Canis lupus familiaris: one gene and its partners. The protein of the gene in region 2 purifies or fractionates together with the protein of the main gene of each other region. This does not show direct contact. Links are inferred from orthologs where the notes say so. Each region holds a gene or a part of one and is shown on either strand. Other genes may lie near its edges.

Evidence for each region. The genes of interacting proteins can lie anywhere in the genome.
Region 1: the proteins of NFKB2 (region 2) and FBXW11 purify together in Homo sapiens (affinity purification with mass spectrometry; 8 studies listed by BioGRID and IntAct, with this or other methods). This does not show direct contact. The link is inferred for Canis lupus familiaris from reciprocal best matches to the Homo sapiens genes NFKB2 and FBXW11.
Region 3: the proteins of NFKB2 (region 2) and CHUK purify together in Homo sapiens (affinity purification with western blotting; 4 studies listed by BioGRID and IntAct, with this or other methods). This does not show direct contact. The link is inferred for Canis lupus familiaris from reciprocal best matches to the Homo sapiens genes NFKB2 and CHUK.
Region 4: the proteins of NFKB2 (region 2) and NFKBIB purify together in Homo sapiens (affinity purification with mass spectrometry; 4 studies listed by BioGRID and IntAct, counting the BioPlex papers as one, with this or other methods). This does not show direct contact. The link is inferred for Canis lupus familiaris from reciprocal best matches to the Homo sapiens genes NFKB2 and NFKBIB.

The regions. Positions count from the first base shown.
Region 1 is NC_049225.1:41,128,551-41,132,645, reverse strand, and holds the start of FBXW11 (F-box/WD repeat-containing protein 11), read right to left. Parts: upstream 2,825-4,095; 5' UTR 2,661-2,824; coding exon 2,616-2,660; intron 1-2,615.
Region 2 is NC_049249.1:15,092,121-15,096,318, forward strand, and holds the start of NFKB2 (nuclear factor NF-kappa-B p100 subunit), read left to right. Parts: upstream 1-1,346; 5' UTR 1,347-1,501; intron 1,502-2,759; 5' UTR 2,760-2,833; coding exon 2,834-2,854; intron 2,855-3,130; coding exon 3,131-3,212; intron 3,213-3,326; coding exon 3,327-3,367; intron 3,368-3,632; coding exon 3,633-3,731; intron 3,732-3,810; coding exon 3,811-3,962; intron 3,963-4,194; coding exon 4,195-4,198. UniProt on the Homo sapiens protein: NF-kappa-B is a pleiotropic transcription factor present in almost all cell types and is the endpoint of a series of signal transduction events that are initiated by a vast array of stimuli related to many biological processes such as inflammation, immunity, differentiation, cell growth, tumorigenesis and apoptosis.
Region 3 is NC_049249.1:13,186,525-13,190,830, forward strand, and holds the start of CHUK (inhibitor of nuclear factor kappa-B kinase subunit alpha), read right to left. Parts: upstream 2,825-4,306; 5' UTR 2,755-2,824; coding exon 2,650-2,754; intron 1-2,649.
Region 4 is NC_049222.1:115,001,064-115,005,359, reverse strand, and holds the start of NFKBIB (NF-kappa-B inhibitor beta), read left to right. Parts: upstream 1-1,472; 5' UTR 1,473-1,557; coding exon 1,558-1,736; intron 1,737-4,296. Other genes in the region: SIRT2 (NAD-dependent protein deacetylase sirtuin-2), read right to left, coding at 1,093-1,218. UniProt on the Homo sapiens protein: Inhibits NF-kappa-B by complexing with and trapping it in the cytoplasm.

The sequences.
Region 1 (4,095 bases), on a different chromosome or scaffold from region 2:
GAAGTGGAAGGATGAAGATTAAGAAACTGGAGATGCCCAAAAAGTCTGTTTCCTGTCTTTAATATTAGAGCACTCTCTAGAGTATCAAATGAAAGTTATTATCCTGTTAACCATTAAGTACCAGACTGGTACAGGCACCACAATCACAAATATTTAAGTACTGAAGCTGACTCATAAAAATCGAAAACTATTTCATGCTTTAGGCTTTCAACATACCATCAGTTTAACCCATTCCTTTCTTTCAATCATGTTATTTTGAAACCAATATAAAAAGTATTTTTAACCTAGTTCTGGAAACTGTAATTAAATTACAGTGAATACAGGGAGCTACATGCAATTAGATTTTAAGGCATTATCATTCCTACATACAATCCTGGATTTACTAAATCAGTTGTTAAATACCTGTCCTATCTACTATACTAAGATAAATACATATATGGTTATGAAAAGGGTTGCTGAAGAGTCTTAACTGGTATCCCTTTGAAAGAATATCAAAATCTGAATATGAAAAGTCATTTCAAAATTGATCTTTGTTAAATTTTCTGAGAATCCCAGTTTATAATGTCCTTGAAAGGCTGAAATACCTTTTCAGATCATAAACAAGTAAAATCATGTATAATCAAAAACTTTTTTAAAGTCATGAGCATGAGAAACAAATAAATTTAGGACAGAGATTTTTTGTTTTACCATTCAAAAATACTAAATTAATTACACTGTATTTCTTCTATTTCTTTTGAAAATAAAGGCATTTTATTTTTTAAATGGAAATGGAAGGAGCACAGAACAGCCAATTTCAAAGGCACCAAGTTACAGTTTTTCAATATGAAGTACTCCTCCAGTTGTGAGGACATATACTGTACATCCATTAGAATACATATTATATATGGAATTCCAATAAGATATTTTACCAAAATAACCCCTATAAAATTTCCAGAATATCAAAGCCTTCGCTACAATAGTTTGATAAATTACACTAAAAGGGAAAAATTACTTAATGAAAATCGAAATTCACACGTGACAACATCCTTTAAAAGGCAAGCACACGTGTGCGCACACAAAGCAGAACCAACCAAAGCTTTTTTTTTTTTTCCCCCTAGTTTTAAAGAATACTGGCTAGTTCTGTGAATTATGCAAAGGACAGCAAATACTAAGCTGGTGTATTTATGCTACTGTACTTCCATTTTTAAAACACGCATCTCAACTCCCCAGATACCAACCATCATCCACAGAAACCATGCAGCTAGCTATCCAACAGACTTTGTGTCACCATTTATTATTTATAGCATTAAATGAGGGAAGTGGCTCTGATGTCACCGACCCTACCCAGTGGAATCACTGACTCAATAAACATTTTCACACTGGAGAAAATCTGGCTAGGAAAACATTTTGCTGGGTTAAGTAGATTCTTTCACCTTTCCTCTCAACCCAGGGGTAGGGGGTTGTTACTGTGGTAGGAGAGATACAAAGAAACTGTCAAGGTTTCCACAGGAAGAAACCCTGGGCATGTCCGCTGGCTGAGGTAAAGACTTCCTCCTCCCAACTCTCCAGAGCCCGGGCTGATTTCCCCAATGTTCAAATTGGCAGGTAATAGCTGCCATGTTTCTTTTCTTCCACCAAATCATCTACCGAGCACCAAGTTCTTCGCTTCTACTAGCCACTCTCTCGTAGTTCTGTTTCTAAAAACCCCTTCTGGCTCCAAGTCGTAAAATGGAAAGCGGCTGGGGTGTCCTTAGGGCCGGGGAGTCTGGTATGGCTACCAGTGGGCTGTAATAGAAGAGTGATCGCTTCCCCTAGGGGCCTAGGATTCTCTCTTTATTTTTTTAATAAGAAAGAACTGGCGGCAGTGAGGAGGACAAACAACCCCCCCCCCCCCCCATTTTCCCAAAGCAACGCTGGGAAACACCAAGTTGCGGTTTTTCTTTCCTGGGAGATGGAATCCAGAGTACCTGGGGCCTCGCTATGCAAACATCCCTCACCGCGGAGTAGGAAACCCTTTGTCCGAGAAGCCGGACACCGCAGGGGCCGGGAAAGAGGCCCCTGTCCGTCAGAGCCTCAAACCCCAGACCTCCCACCTCCACCCCTGGAGGGCCTATCCCGGCATCCACACAGCCCTGCGCTGGGGAGAGGGTGCTGAGGCCCCTACTAGGACGCGGAGAGCGAGGCCCTGACCGACCTCCTCCGTATCCCCCCCCCCCCCCCCCCCCGCCCACCACCATTTCATTCGGCCTCAGTGGGGCTTGCAAGAAAGGTGCAGGCCTGCGCCGGAGAAACAGAGCGGGGAAATCTCCTTCTAAGAGAAGGAGAATGAGATGCTACAGCGAGCGTGAGCTAAGGCCACAGCATAAGCTAGCGAGGGTCCTTCGAGAGATGGGCCCGGATATAGGACAGAGGGAGGAAGGAGAACCGAGGAGTATGGAGGTGGCCGGGCCAGGTCCGGCCTGAGATCTCGAGGGATCCGGAGGAAACGCGCCAGCCCCGAGGCCAGGGAAAGCCAGGACCCAGGGCCGGGCCAAAGCAGCCGGGAAGGCCCAGGGCGGCCTCGCGCCGGACGCTGAGGCGGGCAGGCCCGCCCGCGGCCGGCCGGACGGAAGAACGGTCCAGCGGGCCTCACTCACCATGAGCTCGATGGTCTTGTCCTCAATCACCGAGTCGGGCTCCATGGCGGCCCCGGCGGCCCCGCCTCGCTCTCCCCGCGCAGCAGCGAACGGCCCGGGCGGAGGAGGCGACGGCGGAGGCGGCAGAGGCGGAGGCGGCTATCTTACCCACTCTAGCTGCCAGCCCGCCCGGGCCGCCGGCAGCTCCGCCCTCCCCCTCGGCGAACGCAGTACGCAGACCGAGGACTACAGCTCCCAGCAGGCGCCGGGGGCCCCGCAGAGCGCTGTGGGAACGAGAAGTCAGTACCGGGCTAATCTCTCTTGGCACCCCGAAGCTGAATTCTGAGCCGAAAGTAGCACTGGACTGTGAACATGGGGCGTGCAAACCTAAAGAATTAAGGGCTCCCTCCAAAGAGGGCCTCGGGAATGCCGCGACTACATGTCCCAGAAAGCCCTGCGCGCGGGTTCTCCTTCCGGCTAGCTTCTCCTGACTTCCTGGCAGCCTCCGGCGACTCAGACCGGGACGGAAACTCAGAGGTAACTCTTCCCTCTTCAGAGATCCTGCCTGTGAGACCGGTTTCCGCACATGCGCAGTCGATGCCGCAGTGCCCAGTCTACGCCTAGGTAGCGAGCGATGGCTAGGGGCAGATGTTGGAGACAGGTGGGTTCCAGGTGCACTAGGAGGGCTTGGGGCTCGGGTGTAGGAGGGACCAGCAAGCGAGGGAACGTCGGGCAAAGGAGGGGCTCTGAGAGTATGGGCAACCCAGAAGTGAGAGGTTCGGAAATGTCGTTGGGGAAAGTGGGTTTATGGCGATGAACTGCGGTGTTGTCTGTACGCACCACGAAGTGGGAGTGACTGAGGGATGAAAGGGAACCTGTGTATACTGAGCCCCTCTTACTCATTCTTCAGAAAATAATTATTTTTTAGACTTTCGGACTCTGCCAGGTCTGAAGTCCGCTCCGAACATTACGAGGAAGGACTCTGTTATCATGGTGCTTAATTCTGGTGGTGGGAAAAGAGTAGGCGCTAAGGAGGACCGCAGCTGAAGACCTGGAGACTCTTAGTGAAGTCGGCCTTCAGCTCTGTGTGAACTTTGTCGGGTCTATCCGCTAACCGGAGACCGTCGCGTACATACTGATTGAGCAAGTTGAGTTTATTACTGGATGCAGGGAGGGAGAATACCCGCCATGAGAAATCCTAGGCGGCTCAGTAAGAGTCGTTAGGTGATTTGGAAGAGGGTTTAAGGAAATGAGGCTTTACTCTGGATTAGATGCTGTCAGGAAGTAGGGATAATTCTGTGATTGGGCATCTCATGCCTGGACCGAGGGAACAGTAGATTGAGGCTGAAGCTGTAATTGCTAAAGAAGCAGGAACCTCCTCATTAACCAGGATGGGGGATGTTGGGTCATTTTTGGTGGTTTGGACACTGTTCATTTTTTTTTTTTTTATCTGCATTCAAATATAATTAAGAAATTATCTTGTTTCTGTTTTGATCTATCC
Region 2 (4,198 bases):
TCTGCTCCCCTCCTGCCAGTGGTCTCACTCTCTCTCTCAAATGAATTAAAAAAAAAAAAATCTTGGGGATCCCTGGGTGGCTCAGTGGTTTGGCGCCTGCCTTTGGCCCAGGGCGTGATCCTGGAGCCCTGGAGCCCTGGAGCCCCAGGATCGAGTCCCACGTCGGGCTCCCGGCATGGAGCCTGCTTGTCCCTCCCAATGCCTCTCTCTCTCTCTCTCTATGTCTATCATAAATAAATAAATCTTTTTTAAAAAATCTTTAAAAAAAAAAAAAGGTCACGGGCAAATTGCTTGAAAAATCAAACAGGGCAGCCCAGGTGGCTCAACGGTTTAGTGCCGACTTCGGCCCACGGCCTGATCTTGGAGACTCGGGATCGAGTCCCATGTCGGGCTCCCTGCATGGAGCCTGCTTCTCCCTCTGTCTGTGTCTCTGCCTCTCTCTCTCTCTCATAAATAAATTAAAAATCTTAAAAAAAAAAAAAACTGAAACAAAAGCCTGTGTTCTACCAGGACTCCACCTATCACAGATATTCAGCCTCAGAGTCAGTATTTTATGAAGTCCAGTGCTGATCTTGTTGCCACTGAAAGTGTTCAAGCGGGGTTGGAAGCTCTATAAAAGGTTATTTCCTACATTGGAGGAAGTTCGAACCGTTTAAGATTTTGGATGCCTTTTCAATTCTAATATTCCAAATCTCCGTGATGGATGAGCAAGATCTGAGTCTCCAAGATGAACACCTCATTTACCTTCCCTGGCGCAGAGAGCCGGAGCTCAGATCTAGAAGTCTCCCTCTGTGACCTTGCCATTTATACAATAAGTTTCAGGTTCAGATGCTCTCTTCGAAGGGAGACGGAGTTGAGACAACACGAGAGGATTACCGAGTCTCCGTGCGCCTCCACCAGGGGCCGCCAGATGGCGCCCCGGGACCAACTGCGAGATCAACTTCCTTCCTCTTCCCCCAACTCTTCCCGGCAGCGGGGGCCCCGCTCCGGGCTGGGGACCCGAGGCCTGGGGCCCCCCAGCTTCCCTCTGGGGTTCCCCGGCTTCAGAAGTGGGCAAGAGTTAGGCGCAGCATGAGCCGAGTAGCAGCAGGGACTGCCAGCTGTCTGGGGGCTGGCGGGGCGGGTAAAGAGACCGGAGCCGGGGCCCTTGGCCGGGAGATGGCGCCCGGTCAGCGAATCCAGCCTGCGACAGGTCCCCCTGCCAGAGCCCTAGCAGTAGCGGCCCGTCATCCTACCTCCCGACTCCTCCGCCTGAGCTAGTATCTCCCCTCTAGGGGCGTGCGTGAGTCGCTCCGGATTGGCTGCACGAGTCCGGAGTTAAACTTTCAGCCAATGAAAAAGGGCACGGGGCGTGACGCACGGAAACGTCACGGGAATTCCCCCCTCCCGGGGGTGGAAAAGGGGCTTTCCCGGCTGGAGCCTGGGTGGCTGTGGAGAAGTGTCGCGACCCGTCCGAGGTGGGTCGGGCCGGAGAGAAGCCGGAACCGGAGCCGCCGCCGCGGTGAGTGGCCGGGACACGGGGAAGGGCGGAAGGAGGGCCCTTAACTAACCGAGGCTCAGGGCTGGAGAGCGGTATCTGCAAGCACACACAGGACGCACACGAACAAGACGTACGGATACTCATCGACATCCTTGTACAAAAAAACAAAACAAAACACGCGGACCCATACGTGCACCTACGCGTATGCGAACGAGTGCACAGCACTGTCCATGCATTCAGACTCGCGCACACGCAAACATGCTCACCCGTGCACAGGTGCCTGGACCCATATCCTTCACGCACGAACTCCTATGTTCACCTGTGCCCTTACATATCAAAACACGCTCAGACGCGTCCACACTGAGAAGTTCACAGACGCTCACCTGCACACAGCCTTGCTCACTGGTACATGCATACTGACACCACGCAAGCACATGGGACGACGCACACTATGCCTGTGATACACACACACGGCCATGGGCCTGGGGCAGGGGGCGTGGGCACCCGGAGCAGGTGCGGTGTGGGAACCCAATGACTGCTGAGATGTTTCGGGGAGAGGCAACAGAAGGGCCCGTCCCAAGAAGGAGACCCTGTTCCTCCCCCCGCCCCACGGCCCCAGAGTCCGTTCTCGGGGCAGAACCCCGGGGGCCCCCGCTGGGAAGAGCCCCCGCCTACAGGCCTTCGGAAAGGAGGCCTTCCTACAGCAGGAATGTCCCCCCAAAAGCCCCCGGGTGAATCAGCCGTGGCCTCCCTCAGGGTAGAAAATCCCAAGGTTGCTCCAGGACAGGGGAGGGGGAGGGGGCGGGAGGCGGGCCTCGCCCCGACCTAAGAGCGTCCCCCACCTTTGAAAGGCCCTCCAGCCCCCCGCACCTGCCCTGGGACGAGGAAGGGGGCCCAATCACCAGGGGCGCCTCCCTGGGTCTGGCTGCCCCTCTGCCCTCAGAGCCGCTGCAAGCTCGGAGGCCGCCGCCGACCTCGCGCCCCTCCCGCCGCGGGGGCGGGGCCAGTGGCGTCATTTCCAGGCCCGCCCCCTCCGGCCCCGCCTCCCCCTGGTATTTTCGGGACTTTCCTAAGCTGTTCTAACTTTCCTGCCGCTTCCCCGGCCCTGCCCAGCCCAGCTCCGGATCTCGCGCTCTGCCGGATCTCGCCCGCCACACCCGGACGGGTGGCTGGAAGAGATCAGACCCTCCCCCAAATCTGGGGCCCACTCGCCCCCCCCTCGTGTCCTGATCTGTCTCTCCCTCCCACCCCCCGTCACTCCCCCCCGCCCCCACCTAAGGCGGGCGCCTGAAACACTCTGGGAAACAGAACCTGGCCGGAGCCACCAGACAGAGCCGGGCCTAGCCCAGAGACATGGAAAGTTGCTACGACCCAGTGAGTCACGCCTCCTGGCCCTAAAACCGGCCGGCTGCCCCCCATGTCTGTCTGTCTGTCTGCCTGTCTGTCGGAGTCCCCTCTGCCCCCCTACACCTGTAATGCCCTCTGATTATCTCAACCTGCTTGTCAGTCTGCCTGCCTGTCTGCAAACTTTTTCCAAGAGGAGCTTTTTATGGGTCTGGGGAGGAAAGGGAGTGGCTACCCAGGGCTGGGAAGTGGAAGGCTCTCCGGTGTCTCAGATTCAGTTGCCACCCTAATCTGTTTCCAAACCAGGGTCTGGATGGCATGATTGAATATGATGATTTCAAATTCGACCCGTGCATTGCAGAGCCCAAGGAGCCAGCCCCAGAGACAGGTTAGTGAGTTCCTTAGCTCCCCTTGTCCTAGAGAGGGGGGAGGGAGGAGCATGTGCCCTCTGACTGGGGGATGGCCCTGAAATCCTGGCTCAGCAAGGCCCCTTTGTCCCCAGCTGATGGACCCTACTTGGTGATAGTCGAACAGCCTAAGCAGGTGAGTGAATGGAAGGGATGGTGTGGGAGGACTTCGGCTGTAGGGACCAGTGGGGTAGTTGTAGTTGGGTGGCCATGGGGAGGGTCACTGATCACGGAGGCCACTTCGGGTTGAAACGGCTGACTGCTACTGATCACAATGGAGGTGTTGTGGTTCAGGAGAGACACTGCCAATTGTGGTCACTGATGGCTGGGAGTGTGACTGGCTTGGGGGGAAAAGAGGGGTCCCTCCTGTTCACATTGTCAATCTGCCCTGGGACGTTCAGCGAGGCTTCCGATTTCGATATGGCTGTGAAGGCCCCTCCCATGGAGGATTGCCAGGGGCTTCCAGTGAGAAGGGTCGGAAGACTTATCCCACAGTCAAGGTGAGTCAGGATGGTGCTGGATGGAGGGTGGGCTAACAGTGTGTTCAGGAGCATTACTGACAACCCTCACCCCTCCCAGATCTGTAACTACGAGGGACCAGCCAAGATTGAGGTGGACCTGGTAACGCACAGTGACCCACCTCGCGCTCATGCCCACAGCCTGGTGGGCAAGCAATGCTCGGAGCTGGGGGTCTGCGCCGTGTCTGTGGGGCCCAAGGACATGACTGCCCAGTAGGTGCCCCCTCATTGCCTCCCAGTCCTAGGCCCCAGCCTGCCTCTGTGAGTTTAGCATCTGACCAAGGAGAGAGACAGGTTGGCCTCAGAACCCCAGGCCCCAAGTGAAAACCAGGAAGGCTTCCTGGAGGAATGAGGGCTGAGCTGAGGCCTGGCAGTAGAGAGGGTGCCTCAGGAGGAAAGAACTGCCTACAAAGCTTCTGACTCCTCCGCCCCCTCCCCCACCCAGATTT
Region 3 (4,306 bases), about 1.9 Mb from region 2:
TTCAAAGCATTTCACAGGACTAATTTTCCCAAACACACTTTGAGAAGTGCTACATTATTCCCTAGGAAGAATTCTTTGGTTATTTTTGCCACTCTATCATAGCAGCGGTTTCGCGCCTGCCTTTGGCCCAGGGCGCGATCCTGGAGACCCGGGATCGAATCCCACATCGGGCTCCCGGTGCATGGAGCCTGCTTCTCCCTCTGCCTGTGTCTCTGCCTCTCTCTCTCTCTCTCTCTCTCTCTCTGTGAGACTATCATAAATAAATAAAAATTAAAAAAAAATTTATAAATATATCTGTTATATAGGTTACCACGCTGTACTTAAAGTGTTTTTGTGTCTACCTCTCCCACTAGACTTGAAATCTCCTTGAGGGCAGAAAATACGATTTTTGTTGACTGGGATACCATCAGCACCCATCCCAGCATAATAATCTGATAAATAAACCATCTCACATCCTTTTCTCTTCCTCATTGTGATTTAAGAGATATAGATAAAATACTGGGGACGTGGCTTCCACCAAAACACAAAGATCTTGAAAACTGTTAAGGGCAAATCCAAAGTCAGGCTTGGAAAAGTAATGAAGCTATTTCCAAGTCTTAGAGTATTTCTTCTCTTTCCACTACAAGCCCCGTTGTCAAATGTTCCAATTTGAGGAAAGAACCAGTCTAGATACCTGGAAAGTTCCTGAGAGATTTCTAGGATTCTAGAGGAACCCAAATCTCTTCCATTTAATAAGTAATTAATTCCATGGAGACAGAAAGTAGAAAGGTGGTTGCCAGGGGGCAGGGGGAGGAGGAAATGGGGAGTTATTGTTTAATGAATACAGTTTCAGACTGGTAAAGTGAAAAAGTTCTAGAAATAGATGGTAGTAATGGTTGCATACCAATGTCAATGTACTTAATGCCACTGAACTGTACACTTAAAAATGGTTAAGATTGTAAATTTCACATTATATATACCTTATCACAATTTTTTTAAAAAATGATGTGTTGATCTATTTCCAACCAGTGACCAAGAAAAGCAGTCACAAAGCAAGCTACCAAGCATATATTTTTTTATGACCAGGCTAATGAACAGGCTTAGATAACAACACCAAAGGCAACATTTCACTGGAAGTACTTGGCTCCTTCTTTTCTCTTTAAGTGCCTTATGTACTCTCTGATGGTGAGAATTATTAAATTTACTACTTGTTTAGCTGTCAGAGTACTTAATGCTTTAGTCCTTCACCTCCCATTCTCCCTCTCTTCAAGATGTCCTCCCATGCTCTATCTAGAAAGCTGCTTCACAACATTTCTTCAGCTCCATCACTGACATTTGTCATTGTGACTGCCACACAAACATACCTATTTTTCCCAGGTATACTCCCATGCCCCTACCTCCCATCCTATATTATGGGCTCTCTACCCATACCCCTATTCCTTAAGATTCAAGCAAATCTTGAATTCATTTATTCCCTTTACAAGCCAATTGCATGCATTTGAATAATATTGTAATTGTTCATCTTGTCCCGTGTTTTTCACTCAGATTTATCTTTTACAAAACAGTCCTCCAAGGGCGCCACTTTTATCTTGACGTATCCTTTTTTAAGTTTAATTAATAATGGTAAAGAAGAAAACAAAATAATGGTAAAGAAGATGACAATAGCAACAACACAACAGCAGCAGGAACTAACACTTGAGGGCTTAACTTAGGCCAGGTATTGTACTTAGCTTTACCCATATTAACTTCTTTAACTTTCAAACAGACCTATGATGTATATAACTATCTTACACAAAATACAGATGACAAAAACAAAGGCAACACTGCAAAGATTATCAGTCAAGGGTTAATACCTCTAAAAGGTTTGTGAACATCCTTCAGGAGAGCATGAGCCCCCTCAAATGGCAGCACCTAAGGTGGTGGGGATGTGCAACTGTGCATTTTGCTGGGGAAAGGTTTCATAGCTTTTATTGGTATACTGAAAGATGCATGGCTCAAACATGATTATTAACTGCTGCTAAATGCTTAAACATTTTCAATTAAATTGAAGCAAAATTCCTGACTCCGATGTTAGCTGTCTTCCACCTCACGCCCAATCTACTTCCTTCCCTTAGGAAGCCATGATCATTTCACCAAGCTGATCCTCACACTGTTCCCTACTCAGAACGCATTCCAAGATCTGAAGCCTACTGGATGCTTCCGAAACCTTCCTTGTCTCTTCCAGCCCCTACAAATATCACACAGCCTCCAAGCACACACTTGAACACACATTCCAACAGACAACCCCCTTCTTCAGTCCCGTTTTCTCACCCATTCATGCTCACAATACACACTCTAATGTGGCTCTGCCTCCCACATCCCGACACCCTCTACACTCGGAGACACAATCGCAGTGTCACACTCGGTAAACAGTTTGTCACTTCTTGACGTTCGTACCAAAAGTTCCCCCACAAGAGCTCTATTTCACACACTGACCCAGGACCTCAGATACAGCTTCGGACTCAGTCACCAGACCGACAAGCACAGTAATACACACTCACTCACACAGGCTCACCGGCCCACGGTGCTGCCCAAAGTCTCACCGACAATGTCTCACGTACTGACAGTCGCTGTGTTCCACAAACGCTCTGACAAACACCCACCGCCGCTCCCTCTCTCGCCCCACCTCACCCGATGCTGGTACAGACAGACGTTCCCAAAGCCGCCAGTGCCCAGCCGCTCCCGCATCTCCCAAGGCCCGCCCGCGCCCGGCCGCAGCCCCGGGGGCCGCTCCATGGGGCGGGAGGGCTGGCGGCCTGAAGTTCAGCCACTCTTCCCAGGCCGGTTCCGGGCCGCCGAGACTCGCGCGTCTTTCTTCTCGCGAGATGTGTGCGTCACTTCCGGTAACCGCCACAGGAAAAGCCCTTCCCTAGCTGCTCCCGGGGGCACACAGGAACCTGGCCAGAGAAAGGGTCGGGATGAGGGCAGCTCGCTTCCAGTCCGCTAAGTCTCCTGGGCATTCTCCTGGCTGAGAGAACCCACATAGGATTTCCCAGGCTTCCAAACTATAAGCTCTCCATTCAAGCCATGTTCTAAACTCCACATCGTCTCCACCCTGTCTGCATTTCACCTTTTCTTCAGACCTCTACCATCTATCCTCCAACTCCGCCGCTCGCTGAAGTGGCACTGGCAGAAGCCACCAGTGATTCAAATATTGCGGAATCCGAAAAACTATAAAGAATCCTGCGCTAACACGTCTACCGATGCATTACACTTTATAGTTTTTTTTTTAATGATTAATCATCTTCCATAAAATCAGGCTCAGATCTTTTGCTTGACTTCCTGTACACCTGTACCAGGATCTCGCCTGTAATCACAAAGGACTCAAGGATGTGACACTGTTGTGGAGTAAAGAATGTTCCTCCTGATTTGGGGAATTTTCCCCGAAGTGCCTCATGGAGGTTGCAGTCCAGTGGTCGGTCTTCCATTAATGGGTTTGCCAGTGCAGTGGTTCCTCACTGAGGGAACTGTGTCTGATTCGTGATGCAGCGCTGCAGAGGCAAGCTTCAGGAATGCTGTTGGTGCAACTAGAAGCATTTGCCATTGGCAGATAGCCTTAGCATGGAAGAACCAACCTCCCATTTTCACTTTAAGTTGGTCATATGCCTCAGCCTCACAGAACTTGGGGATCCAGTCAGTATATCCAGAACTGGGTATAAAAATTACTATGGCATCCAGTTCTCTGAAGAAATATATCAGTTACTGCTTCCATAAAGTAGTCATTTGAACACCCCTTGACATCATGTGCACTTGGGCCATCGTTTGCACAGTCCCACCTGTGATCTCAGTACTTAAATTCCAACCAACACTTTGTGACCCACAGATTAACATGTTGAGAAGCCTAAAGATGAATACAGCATGTGCATCACAGCAGTGTTGCTGGCTGCTTTGAAAGCATTGAATTGGCTTCTGGCAGAGAACATGCATCTATTGATTCAGAATCCCTGAATGGTACAACCAAAATGTTGAGCATGGCATGTACAAGCCGTGTTAGGCCTCAGTAATGTGTGGTAGCAGATGATGGATTCCTACATGTGCTTGGTTGCTATGGAGCTGGAGTATCAGACTTGGAGGTGATGGCAAATGGTACTTCCCAAACATCTGCTAGAGTTGGGCAGACTGCACAGATGATTGTGGTACCAATTGCCCCTAACATATAAAGCCCTTTGTCTGCTAGGTGTACTGCATAGCTAGCACTAGAGTATGTTTGATCTCCACAGTTGGAGCCATATTCTTGTAACGCTCACTTGGAAGAGCTAGGGAGGGATACTGATGAGTGCGCTGACCC
Region 4 (4,296 bases), on a different chromosome or scaffold from region 2:
TTTTTCTGCCAGTCCCCGGAATCCACCATTCCCAGGGGGCCGAACCAGGAGTGGGGGCAAGGGGCTGGGGTGATGCCCTGAGGGCCCTGGGGTAACTGTCTCCCCTCTGCCACCTCCACCCCCCCCAGAGTGTGGGGTGTGGGAACACGTCCATTTCTCTCCTTCCCTCCACCCTTCCCCAAATCTCACCTGAGCCTCCTGCACCTTCCCTGCCTGGGTCTCCAGAGGGTCAGAGGCTGGGGGAGGAGGGGGAGCAGACGTGGTTACAGTGCGGGGCACAGTTAAGTGGGGATGAAGGGCTTCAAAGCAGAGGGGCAAGGGGCAAGAAGACCCACCAACCTAATTATACTGGGGTGGGAGGTGGTGGTAAAAGCTGAGCAGAGGGAGGGAGGGGATGGGGAAAAGCAGATCTTATTAGGATAGACAGTGCTGTCTGGAGAAGTGGTTAGTGACAGACAGAGGCTGGGGCAGGAAGGTTTGGGAGAGGGAGGAGAAAGTAAAGCATACAGGCATGGAGGAAGACTTAGAAGTGAGGAAGCAAACAGTAGTGAGTGTGTGTGTGAGCACGTGTGTGTGCAGGGAGGGTTAGGGTTTACAAACAGAGGGAAGTTTAAAAAAGGAAGAGAGAAAACAAAATACGCTTAGCAGAGACAGGTTTAGGAAAGGAGGTGCAGTGGAGACAGCACGTTTAGGAGGGGCACAGGAACTAGAGGGACGAGACAGGAGGGGGCGCCAGGGGTCCCCGAGCATCCTACAGTTCCCCCTAACAACCAGGTACCCTTAGCAACCGGGGCCGCGGCAATCTAAGTCCTTAGCAACGAGGGTCCTCAGCAACCGAGGTGCGAGAAACACGCGGTCATTAGTAACTTAGGGGACGTAGCAAAGGACCCTTACAATCTCGCGACCCAGAAACCCACCAGCCTGGCAAGATGGATCACTTAGCAACGACCCCCCACCCCCGCCCCGATTCCCACTGGCCGCCATGCAGCCCCCGTCTCCAGCCCCACCACGCCGGTCCTCGGGCCCCGGGGCCTGCAGCCCTCAGCCAGGCCCCGGTGCGACCCGACCCTCCCACCGGGGCCCCCGACTCACGGTCCGGCTCGGCCATGGGCGCGGGGCGGGGGCCCTCGGGGCTGTCACCGACTGCTCTGTCCCGTGACGGCACCGGAAACAGGAGGGGCAGAGACAGGGCAGAGAACTACGACTCCCAGCAGTCATCGAGGATGCATACAGGCTTTTCGTCCAGCGGCGCCTGCCGCTCTCGGGCTAGGAAGACACGGACGGCGAGACTACGAGTCCCAGAGGGCTCCGCGCAGGCAGCCATGTTGGTAAAGGGCGGCCGGAAACTGTGGGAATGGGTAGAGAGCCGCAGTCCGTCTGAATACTCTGAATGGTCACTGTGTGGTAAGGGGGCGGGGCGTGTGCTCTTTAGGTCATTCTGATTGGGTGAGCCAAGGGGGAGTGTTGGGGAATTCCCCGCAGGGCGGAAGCGCCGGGGCTTCAGGCAAAGCCAGCTACAGGCGGGCGGCCGCTGGGGCCCCTGAGGCTTCGGGGGCCATGGCCGGGGTCGCGTGCTTGGGGAAAGCTGCGGAGGCCGACGAATGGTGCGACAGCGGCCTGGGCTCTCTGGGTCCCGACGCAGCAGCCCCCGGAGGACCGGGGCTGGGCGCCGAGCTGGGCCCGGGGTTGTCGTGGGCGCCCCTCGTCTTTGGCTACGTCACTGAGGATGGGGACACGTGAGTGAACCTTAGGCTGCCTAACGGGGCCCTAGGATCCCACCTCTGATTCCCTATTAGTCTCCTATCCCGGCTCCCTAACCTTTCACTCTTAAATCTAACTTCTGATGCTCGACTTTCTGATTTGTAACTCCTAACCTTTAGTAAAACCAATTTCCTAGCCAACTTTGACCCTAACTCCTTAATTTCTCCGACTTTCCTTTCTTGAGCTCTGCTTCATATTGCTCCACATCCCTATCCATTGATCCCCAAACTGGTTTTGATCTTCCCGACCCAAGTCCGGAGACCTTTGTTAGAGTTGTGGTCCAGACAGGCTCCTCCTCACCTCCTACCTCCAAATAGGATCCTTGATCCTTAGCCTCCTGATGGATGCGCCTTGAACTTAGATTTCCAAAATTAATACATGACCTTGATTCTTAACATTCTACCTTCTGAGCACCGATCTTCAGATCTTACATCCAAAGGGAAAACGTAAGCTCCATGATAGCAGGGATTGATGCCTGTTAAGTATTTGCTGAACACCACCACGTTCCAGGCACTGGTTTAGGTGCTGCGATAAAGCAGTGAGGAAAACAGACAAAAATTTCCGCTCTTGTGGAGTTTACATTCTAAGGTGCGTATGTAGACAGACAAAAGGACAGACAGGCTGACAGAAAGACAGGAAGGAAGGGAGGGAGGGAAAGAGGAGAGAGAAGGAACAAAAGAAACTAAGACACAGACGCAAAGTGAGAAAGAAGAGAAAGGAAAAGAAGAAACAAAGAAAAACGAAAAACAGTATAAAGGAAAGGCAGAAAAATAGTGTATCTGAAGGTAATAAGTTCTTTGGGGGAAAAATAAAGCAGGAAAACGAGATCCGTAGAGTATCTGGGGGAGAACTCTCCAGGCAGAAGGAACCAGAATTGTAAAGGGCGGTGAGGGATTGTCCTGGGGTTTTTTTGTGTATTTGTGTCTACTCATCCAGTCATGGTGACTAAACAGGGCTTGACCCATAAGAGGCGTGCAGGAAATATTGTTCTTTCCAAAGACCCCTGCTGAGGTTTCATTAGTTTTCTTTATTGGTTTTTTGCTTTCTATTTCATTGATCTCTGTTTTGATTTTCATTATTGCCCTCTTCGGCTTACTTTGGGTCTAATTTTTTTTTTTCTTTCTTTCTCTCTTTTTTTAAAGTTTCTTAAGGTGGCAGCTGAGATCATTCATTTGAGACCTTTCTTCTCTAACATTGGTGTTTCATGGTATAAATTTCCAGCAGCAGTACTTTAGCAGTCTCTCACAAATTCTGATATGTTGTGTTTTCATGTTCATTTAATTCAAGATACTTTGTAATTTCTCTTTTGATTTCTTCTTTGGCCAGTGGATTATTTAAAAATATGTTATTTAGGGCGCCTGGGTGGCTCAGTTGGTTGAGCTCAGGTTGTGATCTCAGGGTCCTGGGATGAGCCTCCCATTGGGCTCTGTGCTCAAGTGTGGCATCTGCTTGGAATTCTCTCTCTTTCTCCCTCTGCCCTTCCTGCTTATGCTCTCTCTAAAATAAATAAATAAATAAATCTTTTAAAAAGGGGTAGGGGGCAGAGGGAGAGGGAGAGAGAAACCCAAGCAGGCTCTGTTGGGAGCAGGGCGTGATCCCATGACCCTGAGATCAGGGCCTGAGCTGAAGCCAAGAGTTGGTCATCCAACCCACTGTGCCACCCTGATGCCCCTAAATAAATCTTTTTAAAAAAATAAATATGTTATTTAGTTTCCAGATATTTGGAAAGTTTTCCAAATGTCTCTCTTTTATTGATTTTTAATTTAATTCCCTTGTAGACTGAGAACATACTTTGTATGACTTGGATCCTCGTAAATTTATTGAGAATTGTTTTATGGTGCCACACATTATGCGTGCACTTGAAAAGAGTGAATATTCTGCTGTTGTTGGGTGTAGGGTTCTCTAAAAGTCAATTAGTGGTCCTATTGGTTTATCATTTTATATATCCTTACTAATGGTTTCTGTCTCCTTGTTCTATCAATTATTGAGGAGGGGGCATTGAAATCTCCAGCAGTCATTATGGATTTGTCTCTTGTTCTGTCAGGTTTTGCTTTGTGTAATTTGATGCTCTGTTATTAGGGCATGGATATGTAGAATTATTATGTTCTTTTGCTTAGTTGACCTCTTAATCATTACAAAATAACCTTCTCGATACTTGGTAATATTTCTTGCTCTAAAGTCTAGTATGATATTAAAATATTCACTCCTGGGCAGCCCCGGTGGCCCAGCAGTTTAGTGCCGCCTTCAGCCAGGGCATGATCCTGGAGATCCGGGATCGAGTCCCACATCAGGCTCCCTGCATGGAGCCTGCGTCTCCCTCTGCCTGTGTCTCTGCCTCTCTCTCTCTCTCTCTCTCTCTCTCTCTCTGTGAGTCTGTCATGAATAAATAAAATCTTAAAAAAACACAACTCACTCCTGCTTTCTTTTGACTGACTGGTGTTAGCACAGTATATCTTTTTCCACCCTTTTATTTTAACCTATCTTTTAATACCTATATTTAAAGGGTATTACTTGTAGGAAGCATATATAGTTGGG